Arabidopsis thaliana: one gene and its partners. The protein of the gene in region 1 interacts with the protein of each later gene in a biochemical or structural test. Each region holds a gene or a part of one and is shown in the gene's direction. Other genes may lie near its edges.

Region 1 (3,915 bases):
CGCGATATCAAATCCATGCTTCCTCCTTTCAGATCCACCGTGGGGATCGTCAGCTGCTGCGAAGGTGGTGCTGTTTGTTTCAGGCTTGTTAGAGTATCCGGAGGTGTATGGAACATGGCTGGAATCTCTTTGATTCCCGAAGCCACAAGCCCTTTCACGCCGGTTTTTGTCTCGTCGAAAGCTTTTGCTTGACTTGAACGATCACTTGACTCCATCTTGCTTCTTCTTTCTTTTTTTTGCAATGCACAGATTTGCATAAGTGCTATTATTCCACATCTTAATGCACATCTTAATACAATTAAATAACAAAAGGAATCGTGACCCATATTAAGATAACAAATAAAGAAATGAATCGCCAAAAACAAGGTCCATTAGTTTATTTCAATTCCTATATTAAAATTTGGATTCTTAATTGGTCGTTTGTCTTTACAAGTAAGAATAGCATCCGGTTTGAACTTTTGTTAATTAACTACACACTTACCATATTAAATCTCATCGCCATTGTTGCTCGCCTAGCTCTCGAAACGCCACTAATTAGCAAAACAACATTTAAAGATATCTCGTTTGGAGGACTTTGGACAATCGTTCCGCTACTGTTCATTTTCTCTCTCTTTGAAGTTTTTTCCAGTTTTTACAGATCTAGTTTTTTCTGCCTCTGTTCTTCATCTTAGGTTATGAATTTGCAAGACAAAGCAGGAGTAAGGCAAGCTATCTTCTCCGGCATTGGAGTGGTGTGGTTTTTCCGGTAAGCGTGGCAGCGGTGGCCCTTTCTCGGTGGATGAGAGGCTTCTCTTCCGTTTCTTCCTGGTTATGGACGTCGGTGGAGATCGGTGAAGTCTTTCTTGGTTCAACCACTTGGTTAGACGCTGTAGCTGTGGCGGAAGACGCTGTGGATTGGTGGGTTTTCAGTGCGTGTTTGATGGTTAACAAACTGGATCTGAGATGGCTGTTGCGGGTTCCGGTTGCTGAAGGGTTGTCTGAGCCATCACCCTTCTTTAGCCTCCGTTTTTTGTCTCCATCAATCCGGATTGAAGGTTGCTTTGCTTTTGGAAAATTTTCAGATCTAAGGTTTTGGAGGTCAGAGGCTTGGAAATGCGTGGTCGTTTTGCGAGGTTGGGGACTCGACCAAATTGGGTGGCGGAGTGTCGGAAACTGGGTTTTTTCCGTTAGGTTTGTTGCAGGTCCGGCCAGCTCATTGGTAAGAGATTTGCGGCAGGACTCGTATACTTCGGCCAATGATCTCGTTCCGGTGGTTGTGTTGCAAAGTAGTGGGCCTTGTATACGACGGTACTAATAGATCTATTTGCTGCCTCCGTTCCACTGCCCAAATCCACCTCTGGTTCTCTTTTTCCGGTGACCGGATTTTTCCTGTTTTGTAACTGTGGACGATTGTAATTCCGGGCCTAAGCCCAATTGGGACTGGACCTTTTTTTTTAAAAAAAAAAAAAAAAGATATCTCGTTTGTGGAGAACGCATGCTAGCAACTTCCCTATCTATAAAATCAGATTTGCACCCCACAAACTAAAATATTATTTACGTACTTGATTAATTCCTACAATATAGTCATTTACAAAAATAACCCTCCATTTGATATTTAAGTCAAAATCAGTCAACGGAACGTGGAATAAATTATAACTTTCGACGCTCCGATCAGATTCATCATCATCTCTCTCTGTGTCGCTCCGATTTTGAATTTGGAATCTCTTAGTTAAGTTGGAAGTTTGTTCTTTGGTCTTTTCGCCTAGTTGTTGTTGGATCTGTTTTAAATTAAGCCAAAAACCTCCGATTAGATCGATCTCGGAACCGTCGAAATACAGTTCACCGTATCCGTTGTTTGTTTTTGGTATATGTATGTTTGAGAAGCTCTTACCATCTTTGTTTACAAGTCTGGTTCTTGGTAAACTTTAGCTATGAACACCATCGTCGTTGCTCAGTTGCAGAGACAATTTCAAGACTACATCGTTTCTCTTTATCAACAGGTTCGTTCCTAACCAAACTTTTCTTACTTTGGCTGGATTCTCACTTTTGGGCTTAGATAAGCTTAAGGTGCAGTTATGTGTGAATTTGAATTTTTTTATTTTTTTTATAAAGATGATATAATATGTTGTTGTTTTGAAGGGATTTCTGGATAATCAGTTCTCAGAGTTGAGAAAGTTGCAAGATGAAGGAACCCCTGATTTTGTAGCTGAAGTTGTCTCTCTATTCTTCGACGACTGTTCCAAGCTTATTAATACCATGTCTATATCCCTGTAAGCTTTGCTTACTCTCTTAGGCTTCTCTTTTTTATCTAACATGGGACTTTGTCTCTAATCCTCCTTCATATTCATTTTTGAGGGTGTAAATTAGCTTCATATATTCATGACAGCATTTTATGAGTTTATTATAAACATTAGGGAGCGGCCAGATAATGTGGATTTCAAACAGGTGGATTCAGGTGTTCATCAACTCAAGGGTAGTAGCTCCAGGTTTGTCACAGTGAACACTGCTAAATTTGCTTTTCTAGTTTTAAGTGACCAAACTACATTGATTTTAATGGCTCAGTCTCTGCTTTGTACTCAGTGTCGGTGCAAGGAGGGTGAAAAATGTGTGCATATCTTTCAAGGAATGTTGCGATGTTCAGAACCGTGAAGGGTGAGTATATTTTTTAGCTTGTTGATGCAAAATGTTATTGGATCTCTAAACTTTTTTATTATATGAGAAGCTATTCTTCTAATTCACACACAAATTGTGATAATGATATCTGGCACAGGTGTCTAAGGTGTTTACAGCAGGTGGATTATGAATATAAGATGTTAAAGACTAAACTTCAGGATCTCTTTAATGTGAGTTTTAAACTTTGCGAAAACCTACTTGTTCTGCTTGTGTATTCTTTTTACTGAGCCTTTTGCTACTTCTCATTCTTCTGTTTCTGTTATGTTATGTTGTTGCAGTTAGAGAAACAGATCCTCCAAGCTGGAGGTACAATTCCTCAAGTGGATATAAATTAGACCGATGCGTTTCTCGATTATGCAAATGTTCAAGGCTGATGACACAAATGAAACCGAAACTCCTCTGTAGTTTTGTTGTTGTTGTTATGTTTTATATTGATTAATGAGGTTCAGCAACACTGTCCCTGGCCAGATATCGTGTCTTGTTTAGACTCTTAATTGAGTTCTAAGAGTAAAAATTGAATTATTAGTCTATAAATAGACATGTCCATATGTATTCCTGTCACAATGCAACCACCATTTGGAGCCTTTGTTCTGACCATCATGACTTAGAATTCTCAGCATTATTCTGAATCTGATATACTCTATTGGATTCATGATTTTGATTTGAGCCGTAAAGCATGCGGGTACTAGTTAGCACTTTAGACGATTTCATTATGTGTGGATTAATCAAGAATGATTTGTTTGAATTATGGATAACACGATTCCATGGTCTCTTTATTTTGTTAACGGTATTCCATGGTCTCTTTTATCAACATTATTGTTATAGGGCTTATAAGACATGATTGTGACAATAGATTGAGAAAGGATTGGGCATGTCTTGTTAGGTATGTATTTAATATAATGTCCGAATTACCTCAAACTAGGAATGAAATAAAAAGAAAATGTCGAAGAATTATCAATAGATTGTTTATAAGTGGAATAAAAAATGTGAAGCCATGTGTCTATGGTAATCACTAGGTGGAGCATTTTTTTTTTTTTAAAGGAAGAGTATGTGAAGTGAAAGAGACTAATGAAACATAAATTGAAGGCATGGAGGCGTGTAATGTAACAAATAATAACAAAGCTTTTCTCCTCTATCCTTCATTTTATCATATCCATCTTCATCATTTTTATTTCTCTCAACCAATGTTTTTAAAATAATTTTGTAATATCCTTATAACATGGTTGGTTTTAGGGTTCTTCATGAAACCGATTCAAAAGTCAA
Region 2 (5,449 bases), on another chromosome or scaffold:
GCCATGATCCTTTGACTCTTGCTTCTTGAGCTCTACGATTGCTGGACTCAATTCTTTTTTCCGATAGTTTTTCAGTATGGTGGTACATATATGTTTTGGTGGTACACTAGCTAGTTTTGTACACATAATTTTGTGGCGGTAAAAAGGTGAAACGTGCAATATTAGTTTAAGAAATTGAGATTACTAGGATCCTTGTATCATAGCCAATGGTATGTCAACAAACAAAAATAAAAGCCATAGTCTTATACAATGGCGGATCCAGGAAATAATTTTATATGGAGCACAATTATAAAAAATCAATAAAAAGACATAGCAAGGCTTGAACTTGGGTTAATGTGGGGCACCATTAAGTAAAATACCACTACACTACATACATTTTTAATTACATAATGCAAACTTATATAAGATTTATATAATTGAGTATCGGGCACATGCCCCACCCAAGACCAACGTGTGTCCGCCCCTGGTCTTATACATTGTCATATTGCTGCGGATAACAAATAAAACAACAAAAATTGACTGTATAGAAAGAAAAAGAAAAGAGATAGGAAATGTGGAAAGTGAGAGAGCAATATGGAACCCACTAGACCCATAAGAGAGTATTGGTTATTGGACGGACTTTTCATGTGTCTACCATACTTTGGATACGTGTCGTCCATATAAAGATGATGATTGATGATGATAGTGGTGATGATGGGCATGACCATGGGAGGCAAATCTTTGGCAGAGAATCAAGTGAACATTGCCATGTCTTTGCCACTACCACACTACCTAACTATTTAGTAAATTTTCTTATTCTTTTGCCAACGAATCTGATCGCCAAGTATAATACGATGAGCGCAAAACACTATTTCACATTTAGGTTACATTTTTTTTATTTAATACTGTTCGTAGATGTAAAAGCATTTAAAAATAGTATCTATAATACTTAGAATATAAAACATCATTTATACTATATATTTTATATTGTGGATTTTTAACAAATCCCATTAACAAGAGATACTTGTAGCATGGGAACTTACAACTAAATTACCGTTATACTACTATTTTCCTCTCTAAATAATACATTCATCTCTTCTTATTTATCTCCAACCACTAAAAACTTTGACTGGTCATATAATTTTTATGTTACCAATCATCATAATTAAGATTTACCAATTTAACTTCACAAAAAAAAAGATTTATCAATCTAATTTACTGATTGAGTATTACACCAGAGACCAACCACATTTGTACTAAAAGTGAGAAAAAGAAAACATAAAAATTATATCCAATAAGTAAATGATACGCAGCAAAACACGTCACATCGACTCGCATATGAATACACAAACCCCACAACATAAACTGCTAAATAGAAATAGGGACGATGTTGTGGTCCGACGAAAATCTTTTCCACTAGTCACTCTTTCAATCAGGACCATTACAAATTATTTCGAATGTTTGTGCAGAGTATAAATAAAAACAAATTGAATATTGTAAATACATCAACGATCCACCGTAAAAACATTCAAAATTCTATTCCTTTTTTTTTTTTTTGGGATTTAAACCACTCTTAACATTCAAAATTATAAGCAAATTCTTAATTAGGTTCAACGATTATTTGATCGGTGACATCCCAGCAGCTCAATAAACATATATTAAAATCGAAAATAAAAAATACTGTCATCACAAAAACTCGTTATTATTTAATCTCTTTTAAAACATCTTGTTTTCGAACATCTTGCTAACTAATGTATAAGTTTTTTTGTTTTTTTAAACGTTAAACTACAATTCTTTTTGACAATGAACGGTTTTTTCTATATATATATATTTTCAAATGGCTGTTAAAACCCACCAATAGCAATGCATGTGGTTGTGGTAGTATACACATTATTAAATCCCTCATCCTCTTATCTTAAAAAAAAAAAAAGTCTTTGGTGGGCTAAACAAATCCTTTAAAATCTTCATATAGATTTCTTTCCATTATTTATTTTATCCATTATCAAAGTCTTTTTTTTTTTTAAATTTCTTTCTCTCGTTGTCTCCTTGGAAATTACTTTCATCATTTAAAAAACTTGCTTACTCCGTAAACCAAAGCTAGATCCAATTAGTCTTATTTCCTTTTTATTCGTCTCTCTCTCACTATCCGAGATTTGGGTTGAAAAATACAAACCCCCTTTTATTTCTCCTCTTCTCTCCTACAAGCTCATTCAGAACTCTCAACATTTCCGGTAGAGAAAAAAAAACCGTTTTTTTTTTAATCTCTTTCTAAAGAAGGATATCAAAACAAAACACAAAGTTGAAAACTTTGCATCTGGGTTTGTCTATTTTAGATTCAGATCTTAGTTTTTTTCGATTGAATATCTACAATGGTAATGGAAACAGAGTCAAAGTTCCATGTTTTAGCTGTTGATGATAGTCTTTTTGATCGGAAAATGATTGAGAGATTGCTTCAAAAGTCTTCATGTCAAGGTAGATTCGAAAAAGCCATAATCTTTAAGCTATATGTATTGGAGAAAGAGAAGGAAGATATACTGAAAAAAAGGTTTCTTTATTTGGTTCTTGTTCTTATGTTTTGCAGTAACTACAGTTGATTCAGGCTCTAAAGCTCTGGAATTTCTGGGTTTAAGAGTAGATGACAACGACCCAAATGCACTCTCTACATCGCCACAAATTCATCAGGTTCAGTTTTTGATCTTTTACATGATTCAAAGTTGGTTACTTTCGAAATTTGCAATGAATGGTTATATTGAGATTTGTTTGTAATTTGTGGCTTTTGAGCAGGAAGTTGAAATAAATCTAATAATTACAGATTACTGTATGCCTGGCATGACTGGTTATGATTTGCTCAAGAAAGTTAAGGTATTTCTTCTCAATTTGGTTACTGTCTTTTCCATCTCTGGCTAAATTCGTTTCCAGAAAAAGAAATAAAGTTTTTTACTTTAGTTTTCTTTTCCAAATGAGAATGTCAATGGAGAAATTGAAAATCTCATTTTGGAATATTTTCCCACTCAAAAACTTTCCTTTATGCCATTGTTTGATAAAAAAGAACAATTGATTTGCTTCTGAGTAATCTACATGATTGTTGTGTATAGGAATCAGCGGCGTTTAGAAGTATACCTGTAGTTATAATGTCATCTGAGAACGTTCCTGCAAGAATCTCCAGGTAAGAGCTCTGTTTCTTTAAAGTTAATTTGAGTATTATTGATTTGAGAATTGGCAAGTGGATACTATTATTCGATTCTTTGGTTTGAATAAGTCTTTGAACTATCTACAAAATTGTGGTGGTTTCTTCCAACAGATGTTTGGAAGAAGGAGCTGAAGAGTTTTTCTTGAAACCAGTGAAGTTAGCTGATCTTACCAAGTTGAAACCTCATATGATGAAAACGAAGTTGAAGAAAGAAAGTGAGAAACCAGTTGCCATAGAAGAGATTGTGGTGTCTAAACCGGAGATAGAAGAAGAAGAAGAAGAGTCATCAGTGATTGAAATCTTGCCTCTCCACCAAGAAATTGAATCCGAACAACTTGAACCAATGTTGAGTAGTAATAAGAGAAAAGCAATGGAAGAAGTGGTTTCTACTGATCGATCACGTCCTAAATACAATGATATCACAACCTCGGTCTGAAGGAGGACTAACGCAACCCGAGAAGCCACTACAAGACCTATATGGAGAATGCCAACAGAATCTCTCAGTAGAAGATCTGCTAACTCTTGCATCTGAAGCAAACAACAACGGACTGCAAGGAGGACTAACGCAACCCGAGAAGCCACTACAAGACCTATATGGAGAATGCCAACAGAATCTCTCAGTAGAAGATCTGCTAACTCTTGAATATGAAGCAAACAACAACGGACTGCTAGGAGTAATACCGCAGCAACATCGTTATCATCAGGAAAAAGAGACAATGCAGACACAAGGAGATCCACTAAATCGAATACCTATTCAATCAGAAGCTTCAAACCATTCAGATAGTGGTAAGTAGCAACACTAGAAATGTGGTTTCATACTATAGCTTTTGTCATCTCTTATCTTACTTGTTTCTTGGTTGTTCTCTCTTTTCACTCAGGTGATAGCACACTAACAATGGCTCAAAACCAGGATGGTCTCGGACACAGTAGTTGTTTTATTCTCTGTCAATTTACTTCTCTCCCCTAGATTAGCTTTCTTCGTTTTTTTCTTTTATTTTTCATGCTGTTAAACCCACAAGATTTTTGGGAAGTTTCTTGCTACTAGCTTAAGAATCCAAAACTATTGCAAAGATTGAAGCTTTCGAGAATTAGTAATGAATCTTATCAAAACTAACAGCTACATTTACTAGCTTAAGAACCATTAAACGAATTGTAAAATTCTCTCATCTTGTGGGTGTAACAGCATCAAAGATCTAAATCCAATCTTATCAAAAATTGGAAGTGGTCGAAAGTTTTGGCCTTTTGATACGAACAAGCTTCAAAGATATAATTCCTGAGATTGAAGATGAAATTTTTATGATTTGTTCCCTTTGGAAACGAAAACTGTATTAAGAGAGCTATTTGTCCCACATCGGAAAAACAAAACGTTTTGTTGTTGTATATAATAGGGAAGGTAGCGAGTATTGTACGTCGAACTCAGTAACGCGGGCTTGTGATCCAAGTGGAGACAATAAGGGGATGGGACGTTGGGTCGATCTCATTGGGCCGGGTTCGGGTTGGGCTATATTCTGGCCCGCCCATTCCAAGTTGGGAGTTGAGGCATGGGCTTCGAGCGAAGGCTCGGGTCTCATGTCTTCTAGAGTGGGGGAGACCGCGTGAGGCTGGTTTCACAGAGCAGCGTCCACCTCCCGCTCTTGACGGTGGAAGGATTACGGGCCATTGCCTTCCGAGCCCACTATGACCCAATAAGCCGCTCCGATTGGACCATCACTTTTTTATTTTCTCTTTCTTATTTTTTTGTGTACTCTCTCGTTTTTTTCAGTATTTCAAAACTGGACAATAATATTAACGTTTAACTATAAAGAAAGCAAAATCATTAGCCCTAATTTTGATTAGAGATAACATTCCAAGAACTATCTAAAAAGAAAAAAAAATGTGACAAAAGGAAGCTTCTGTGATGTTTGTTGCATCAAATTATTTTACATAATTATTTATTTCCAATCACATGAGTAATATTCATTATGCCTCCTTTTTATGCAATATTTCTGTTGTTTTGTGAAGTACTATCAACTAACGATAGGAAAAATACAAAAGTTTAATTATAAATATGAAAGGAAACAAAATATGTCCAATTATAAGGGAATAATTATTAGTTCGTTGGGGAAATGTCAGCTAGCTCGTAAATGACATTTATTTTGGTATTTAAAAACAAAATAAACACACTATCAAAATTTGCATAACATATAGTACCAAGTAATCAACCACTGGGTCGGGTTGATAAAGTTTGGGTTGCGATCTTCTCTTTTTATTGGTCGAACAGTGACGTGTCCCCTAACGCTG
Region 3 (8,015 bases), on another chromosome or scaffold:
TATATATATATATATAAATCCTGGTTTTCTATCCTACTATATTATTTGGGAAGTACATTTTAAATATAACCTTATTTTTTGTAAGTAATTACATATGTATGCCATTAGAAATAAAATTTTAAAGAGTAAATTAATTCATTTCTTTAAAAATTAAAAAGTCAATTTAATTAATTAAATTTAACTCAAAAACGAAATACATTATTAATTTCCAAAAAAGTAACCAATTAAAATCAACAAATTAGATTTGATATCTAAATTATCATATTAATTTTTTATTAATTATTATAGTTCACCTCTCATCTTTATATGATTTTATTTTTGCAAAAAAATAATATCATCGTTATAAAAAAATAATTAGAGTTTTTTTCGCATATGCCACAATTTAAATTTAAAAAAAACAAATATAAACTGTTCAATACATGAAAAAATACTATAACGGGTCAAAAGTAGATTTAAAAAAAAATTTTACTGAGTACTGTGTTATAATTTGAATATTTATATTCAATTTCATACATATTATTTTAAAATTTATAATTTTATATACTAAAATAATTAATAACATATTAGATTTTTTAATGTGTATGATGTGATTCAATTTTTAATACAAGTTGGAAAATCCTAGAATTGACGGGTTTAAATCAATATTAATACAAGATGGTATAGTACAGGTGAAACTCTAAAATTAACAATCAAAATACAAGTATATAATTTTAAACATTAAACAATATAAATAATATCAACAAAACATATACAACTAGCAGTTTACTATACATTTAAAATCAAATAAAATAATATCATATATTTGTAATCAACTTTACAATAAAAGTTTTTAGTTTAACTAAAATATAAGCCTACCTGCTGTATAATGCAAGTTAAAATTATAAATAAGCAGATTACCATCACGATGGATGTACCTTCTCACATACACACCTATCAAAAACTTAAAACCTTTCAAAACCTCTTGGTATATTCAAATTAGGATTCTTCATTCATAGAATCATTATTCCAAGGGTTTTGGGATGTCTTATGAAATGATTTTGGCAGAAGAGGATGTAAATTTTTTTGAATAAAAGGTATTCAACAAAACATATGTTTTATTGGGATTTTTTAGATAATTAAATCAGAGAATAGGGCTGGGCATATGAGTAACCCATTCGAGTTCGGGTAGAACCCGTTCGGGTTTGGGATTAATGGGTATATGATTTACTACCTAATAGAATAATTCTAAATATTCGGTTCGGGTCGGGTCCAGTTGGGTTTGGGTCAGTTTGGATAAAAAGTTTCAGGCCCTAAAAATACTCAAAAAAATAGAAACGAGTATTTTGTATGTAGATAGTGCGTCTCTAAACAAAAAAAACTTTTAAATTTATTAAGTTTTAATAAATTTAATTATATTTGAATATATTTTACTAAATTTTGACAAATATAACAAATAATTTTGATAAACATAACAAACATAACAAAGTATACAATGTAATTTATACAAAATATTAATGCCCGTGCTATACAGCACGGGTTATGATCTAGTCCTAATATATTTTCAAAGTCAAATACAATTTTAAACAGAACTTCTTACATAAAAATAATCAGAATCATAAATGTAACTGGGAGACAAAGATACATAAACTGATAAAAAGAAATAAGATGTACATATAGAATCAAATCAATACCCACTTCTCGTAAAACCCACTCATCGTTATATTTTATACAAGATAAGATAAGACTTAAGAGTAGATGTTAAACTATGCTAATGAAGCAATTTAAAAACACCAAAAAGACCAAACAAAAAACAAATAACAATGAGTAGGTTTTAGGAGAAGCATGTATTGATTCTTGGTATAGTTGAGTTTATTTATATTTTCATTAGCCAATCACTTTTTCTAATTTAACTAAAAATGTTATAATACCTTCCCCACCTAGATGATGAGATAATCATGGACCCAAAAACCTCAGTTTTTAAAAATGTTTATTCACCAAAAGACAAAAACAATAATAATAATCAAAAGTAGAGTAAAAGAAGAGAGAAGTGACATTCTTTTTCTTTAGCTCATAATTTCTCTAACAAATGCTTCTTTTATCCAAACTCTGATCATTGAGTCCAGTTGGGTAATGAGAGACACCAGCTGGGTTTCTTTTGTTTAAGCTCACAAACATCTAAAACAGAGAAAGCTTTGTCATTTTTCTTTACCCTGAAACCATGAAAGAAGATAAAGCTTTGTCCTTTTTCTCTTTTCCGTTTCTTTACTCTCAACAATGTCTTCTTTCTCCCATTGCAACAACCACTGGGTTTGGTTCATCTTGTCCTCTTGCGTCTTAAGTAAGAAAAAAGAAAAAAGCTTTGCGTTTGGGACTATGTCACAGCTTCTTGTTCTTCTTGTGGATGGTTTCAAGAACTCAACTATGAGATTGTTGTTGATAGAGTTTTAGTTTTGGGTTTGAAGAGATCTGAATTTCTTCAGCTGAATCTGAGATTAGGAGTCGAAATGTCTATAACTTGTGAGCTCTTGAATCTTACTTCAAAGAAAGCTAAGAAGTCGTCGAGCAGTGACAAGAAATGGCTAAAGAAGCCTCTCTTCTTCCTGATTTTGTGTGGCTCTTTGGTAATTGTTTTGGTTATGTTCTTACGGTTAGGTAGAAGTCAGAAGGAGGAGACAGATTCTTGTAATGGAGAAGAGAAAGTGTTGTATAGACATCAAAATGTCACAAGAAGTGAGATTCATGATTTGGTCTCTTTGTTCTCTGATTCAGATCAGGTAATTGCATGAATTGACTTGTATTTGTTGAAATTGAGCTTTTGAATACGCACCAGATTTGCCTTAAAGTGTAACAGTTTCTCTGTATTTGTTGTAGGTAACATCCTTTGAATGTCATAAGGAATCAAGCCCTGGAATGTGGACAAACTATGGTATTACATGTTCCCTGAGTGTGCGTTCTGATAAACAAGAGACTAGAGGGCTTCCCTGGAATCTTGGCTTAGGACATTCTATCTCATCAACATCTTGTATGTGTGGTAATCTTGAACCGGTAAGATAATATTCGATTCGACAACATGTGAAGGAAATGCTTTAAGATTTGGTGTTTAGCTAGTTCTCACAAAAGTTTATTGTGAATGTGTTTGGTTATGAGTAGATTTTACAGCAACCTGAAAACCTTGAGGAAGAAAACCATGAAGAAGGGCTGGAGCAGGGTTTGTCATCGTATTTAAGAAATGCATGGTGGTGTCTAATCCTTGGTGTGTTAGTGTGCCATAAGATTTATGTATCTCATTCTAAAGCACGAGGTGAGAGGAAAGAGAAAGTACATCTGCAAGAGGCTTTAGCTCCAAAGAAGCAGCAACAACGTGCTCAGACTTCTTCTAGAGGGGCTGGAAGATGGAGGAAGAATATCCTTCTCCTTGGTATTTTAGGAGGAGTTTCCTTCTCTGTTTGGTGGTTTTGGGACACTAATGAGGAGATCATAATGAAAAGGAGGGAGACTTTGGCAAACATGTGTGACGAACGAGCACGTGTTTTACAAGATCAGTTCAATGTTAGCTTGAACCATGTTCATGCCTTGTCTATTCTTGTATCTACATTTCATCATGGTAAAATCCCATCTGCCATTGATCAGGTGATGTTTTTTTCTTACTGCTAAATACATTTTGTGTCTCAAGTTTATGTTTAAATCATCAACTTCTGTTACATTTACAGAGAACATTTGAAGAATATACTGAGAGAACAAACTTTGAGAGGCCACTTACTAGTGGTGTAGCGTATGCTTTGAAAGTCCCACACTCAGAAAGAGAGAAATTTGAAAAGGAGCATGGATGGGCAATAAAGAAAATGGAAACTGAGGACCAGACAGTTGTACAAGATTGTGTTCCTGAAAACTTTGATCCCGCACCGATTCAAGACGAATACGCGCCAGTTATATTTGCTCAAGAAACTGTTTCCCATATTGTATCGGTCGACATGATGTCTGGAGAAGTCAGTAACGTCTAAAAGTTTCTTGAACTATTTTGCCAAACCAATGTCCTTAAAAGAGAATTCAAAAGTCTAACTATTTTGCAGGAAGACCGTGAAAACATCTTACGGGCAAGGGCATCAGGAAAAGGAGTGTTAACATCTCCATTTAAGCTTCTTAAGTCAAATCATCTTGGTGTTGTGTTGACCTTTGCTGTCTATGACACGAGCCTACCGCCTGATGCTACAGAAGAACAGCGTGTTGAAGCAACTATTGGGTACTACTTCTACTTAAAATGATTCTAGGACTGAAGAAATTGAACCTATGTAACAAAGAATGATCTCTGGACCAGAAAATATTAATAAGATACACTTAAAAACAGGTACCTTGGTGCATCATATGATATGCCATCGCTGGTGGAGAAACTTCTTCACCAACTTGCCAGCAAACAGACAATTGCTGTGGATGTTTACGACACAACTAACACTTCAGGTCTAATAAAAATGTATGGCTCAGAAATTGGGGATATAAGTGAGCAGCATATAAGTAGCCTTGATTTTGGTGATCCATCAAGGAACCATGAGATGCATTGCAGGTTAGTTAGCTCTAACTGTTATGGTACATTTTTATAAGATATGTTTCACTTCTCTGTTTTCTGAAGTATGAAAGTGGCATTTTTCATTTACAGGTTTAAGCATAAACTTCCCATTCCCTGGACAGCGATAACACCGTCGATCTTAGTTCTGGTTATTACTTTTCTTGTTGGTTATATTTTATATGAAGCCATCAACCGAATTGCGACAGTTGAAGAGGATTGTCAGAAGATGAGGGAACTCAAAGCTCGTGCTGAGGCCGCTGACATTGCAAAGTCACAGGTGATCTTTGTGAATCATATAGTCTCAAAAGCTTTACTTGTTTTTTCACTGAAATGCTTCTTATTTTGCAGTTCCTAGCAACTGTTTCTCATGAGATACGGACTCCGATGAATGGAGTTTTAGGTACTTTTTCTACTTATCCTTGGTCAATATTGCATGTTCTCTTAAAATCAGCTGAAACGTTTAAGCATTTTGTTACAGGAATGCTGAAAATGCTGATGGACACCGATCTTGATGCGAAGCAGATGGACTATGCGCAAACTGCTCATGGCAGTGGGAAGGATCTTACATCACTAATAAATGAGGTTCTTGATCAGGCAAAGATTGAATCCGGAAGGCTCGAGCTTGAAAATGTGCCTTTTGATATGCGTTTTATTCTTGATAATGTTTCATCTCTCCTCTCTGGCAAGGCAAATGAAAAAGGAATTGAGGTATAATTATAAACTGCATGACCTTCTACTTTCTTAATGTTTTCATATGGCAAACAAATTCCATATGTAATGAAATGTTGACTTCTTGTTACAGTTGGCCGTTTATGTTTCTAGTCAAGTTCCTGATGTTGTAGTCGGTGATCCGAGTCGGTTCCGGCAGATCATTACAAACCTGGTTGGAAACTCAATCAAAGTAATTTACTCCTTACTTCTTACAGAACAACAGGCTTCACGAATCTCTACTATTACAGTACTCATTTGTTATTTACTTAATAACAGTTCACACAGGAAAGGGGACACATATTTATCTCAGTGCACCTTGCAGATGAGGTAAAGGAGCCTCTTACTATTGAAGACGCAGTGCTAAAACAGCGACTAGCTTTAGGATGCAGCGAGTCCGGTGAGACAGTTAGCGGGTTTCCTGCGGTAAATGCATGGGGAAGCTGGAAGAATTTCAAGACATGTTACAGTACTGAGAGTCAGAATTCTGATCAAATCAAATTGCTAGTTACAGTGGAGGACACTGGAGTTGGCATACCTGTGGATGCACAAGGCCGAATCTTCACACCTTTTATGCAAGCCGACAGTTCCACATCGCGGACTTATGGTGGAACTGGCATAGGTTTGAGTATAAGCAAACGTTTGGTTGAACTCATGCAAGGAGAGATGGGGTTTGTGAGTGAGCCCGGGATAGGCAGTACTTTTTCATTTACTGGAGTTTTCGGGAAAGCAGAAACAAATACGTCGATTACTAAGCTGGAACGATTCGATCTAGCTATTCAGGAGTTTACAGGATTGAGAGCATTAGTTATTGATAACAGAAACATTAGAGCAGAGGTCACCAGGTACGAACTTCGGAGACTGGGAATATCTGCAGACATTGTTTCAAGTCTGAGAATGGCATGCACTTGTTGTATCAGGTACTTTACGTACATTAGTGTCTGTCTGTCTTTAGAGATTATAGTGAGTTCACTAAAAGCGTTTTATTGTTCTGGAATCTTTGCAGCAAATTAGAAAATTTGGCTATGATTCTAATAGACAAAGACGCCTGGAACAAGGAAGAATTTTCAGTACTTGACGAGTTGTTTACCCGAAGCAAAGTAACCTTTACAAGAGTCCCAAAGATTTTTCTTTTGGCAACTTCTGCAACTCTTACTGAGCGCAGTGAGATGAAGTCTACTGGTCTCATCGATGAGGTGGTGATAAAGCCTCTTCGGATGAGTGTCTTAATATGTTGCTTGCAAGAAACCCTTGTCAATGGCAAGAAGAGGCAACCGAACAGACAGCGAAGAAATCTTGGACACTTGCTAAGAGAAAAACAGATTCTGGTTGTGGATGATAATCTTGTGAACAGACGAGTTGCAGAAGGTGCACTTAAGAAATATGGAGCTATTGTTACATGCGTTGAGAGTGGCAAAGCTGCATTGGCAATGCTTAAGCCGCCTCATAACTTCGATGCTTGCTTCATGGATCTCCAGATGCCTGAAATGGATGGGTAGATAACTATTTTTCAATCTTATCTCTTCAGCTTGTTCATTTCTTGGATGTCGTCCTTGGTAACTTTATAATTTTTTGCGCAGATTTGAAGCGACAAGGAGAGTCCGTGAGCTGGAGAGGGAAATCAATAAGAAAATAGCTTCTGGAGAAGTTTCAGCTGAAATGTTCTGTAAATTTAGTAGTTGGCACGTCCCGATATTAGCAATGACAGCAGATGTTATTCAGGCTACTCATGAAGAATGCATGAAATGTGGAATGGATGGTTATGTATCAAAACCGTTTGAAGAGGAAGTGCTCTACACAGCGGTAGCAAGATTCTTTGAACCTTGTTAAAAGAAAAAGCCATTTCCCTTGTAGGATTATATATCAACCCGAGAGCTTTTTGACATCGGGTAGTATATCTTGAACATCCATGACCTGCAATTCAACTTGAGATCAAGGCAAGAACCAGTTCATTGTCAATTTTTCTTCACAGGTCTCTTTCAGCTTAAGACCTCGTCTGGTTGAGTGAGAAAAACTGCGAAAACCGATCTTTCTCTTTGTATAGACACTTTGTCTTCATTGATCTCTGCCTGTGTGTATAGTAGATTCCTAGGGTATAGCTCCATTATATTCATTTTATATATATATAAACCCAAACTCTGTCCTCTTAACTATGAAACAGCTTGTATATTGTGTAGTAATAGTAATGGCTCTTGATTACATGATAGGAAGCGTATAAATGACAGTGTGTTCTGAAAAGCTTCCAGAAGCAGAACAAAATCTTCCTCAAAAGTCAAAACCAATGCAGATCTGGCACATGATTGCATCTGAAGCAAACCAAGATTCCCTAGTCATAGATCTTGAACTTTTGGACTAATGATTCTTTCTAACTAGTATAAAGGGTATCAAGTTGCACTCATTTCCTTAGCTCCCAAACTTCCTAACTAGATAGATCAGATCTGGATCTCTCTGCACCACTCATTGCCTTCTCTAGAAACATGTCAACTTTCTTGATAAGGATACTTCTTCCTTTGCTTATCATAGCAATGACTCTTCCTCGACGTTCAGGTAAAAACACCACTGCAATGTTCATACTATGTCCCTTTTTTGGCCTTATGCAGATGTATGTGAGTGTATGTTTAAGCAGAGGCAGAGTCGGAACAATGGTGCATAGCGGATGAACAAACGCCAGACGATGAGTTGCAAGCAGCCTTAGACTGGGCTTGCGGAAAAGGTGGAGCAGACTGCAGCAAAATGCAGCAGGAAAACCAGCCTTGCTTCTTGCCTA

What was found. The genes of interacting proteins can lie anywhere in the genome.
Region 2: the proteins of AHP5 (region 1) and RR3 form a complex in vitro, tested with the Arabidopsis thaliana proteins (one study listed by BioGRID).
Region 3: the proteins of AHP5 (region 1) and HK2 form a complex in vitro, tested with the Arabidopsis thaliana proteins (one study listed by BioGRID).

Annotation. Positions count from the first base shown.
Region 1 is NC_003070.9:846,249-850,163, forward strand, and holds AHP5 (histidine-containing phosphotransfer factor 5), read left to right. Parts: upstream 1-1,544; 5' UTR 1,545-1,910; coding exon 1,911-1,979; intron 1,980-2,118; coding exon 2,119-2,249; intron 2,250-2,393; coding exon 2,394-2,465; intron 2,466-2,559; coding exon 2,560-2,631; intron 2,632-2,749; coding exon 2,750-2,822; coding exon of another isoform or gene 2,823-2,879; exon of another isoform or gene 2,880-2,930; coding exon 2,931-2,987; 3' UTR 2,988-3,373; downstream 3,374-3,915. Other genes in the region: 2A6 (2-oxoglutarate (2OG) and Fe(II)-dependent oxygenase superfamily protein), read right to left, coding at 1-326. UniProt on the Arabidopsis thaliana protein: Functions as a two-component phosphorelay mediator between cytokinin sensor histidine kinases and response regulators (B-type ARRs). Plays an important role in propagating cytokinin signal transduction through the multistep His-to-Asp phosphorelay.
Region 2 is NC_003071.7:17,219,932-17,225,380, forward strand, and holds RR3 (response regulator 3), read left to right. Parts: upstream 1-1,908; 5' UTR 1,909-2,348; coding exon 2,349-2,451; intron 2,452-2,560; coding exon 2,561-2,661; intron 2,662-2,763; coding exon 2,764-2,841; intron 2,842-3,074; coding exon 3,075-3,145; intron 3,146-3,280; coding exon 3,281-3,605; 3' UTR 3,606-3,955; intron 3,956-4,047; 3' UTR 4,048-4,949; downstream 4,950-5,449. UniProt on the Arabidopsis thaliana protein: Functions as a response regulator involved in His-to-Asp phosphorelay signal transduction system. Phosphorylation of the Asp residue in the receiver domain activates the ability of the protein to promote the transcription of target genes.
Region 3 is NC_003076.8:13,910,806-13,918,820, reverse strand, and holds HK2 (histidine kinase 2), read left to right. Parts: upstream 1-2,015; 5' UTR 2,016-2,483; coding exon 2,484-2,753; intron 2,754-2,850; coding exon 2,851-3,024; intron 3,025-3,129; coding exon 3,130-3,609; intron 3,610-3,689; coding exon 3,690-3,965; intron 3,966-4,049; coding exon 4,050-4,219; intron 4,220-4,324; coding exon 4,325-4,537; intron 4,538-4,630; coding exon 4,631-4,817; intron 4,818-4,888; coding exon 4,889-4,940; intron 4,941-5,018; coding exon 5,019-5,248; intron 5,249-5,342; coding exon 5,343-5,441; intron 5,442-5,527; coding exon 5,528-6,168; intron 6,169-6,254; coding exon 6,255-6,743; intron 6,744-6,828; coding exon 6,829-7,078; 3' UTR 7,079-7,538; downstream 7,539-8,015. Other genes in the region: AT5G35740 (Carbohydrate-binding X8 domain superfamily protein), read left to right, coding at 7,726-7,795, 7,875-8,015. UniProt on the Arabidopsis thaliana protein: Cytokinins (CK) receptor related to bacterial two-component regulators. Functions as a histidine kinase and transmits the stress signal to a downstream MAPK cascade.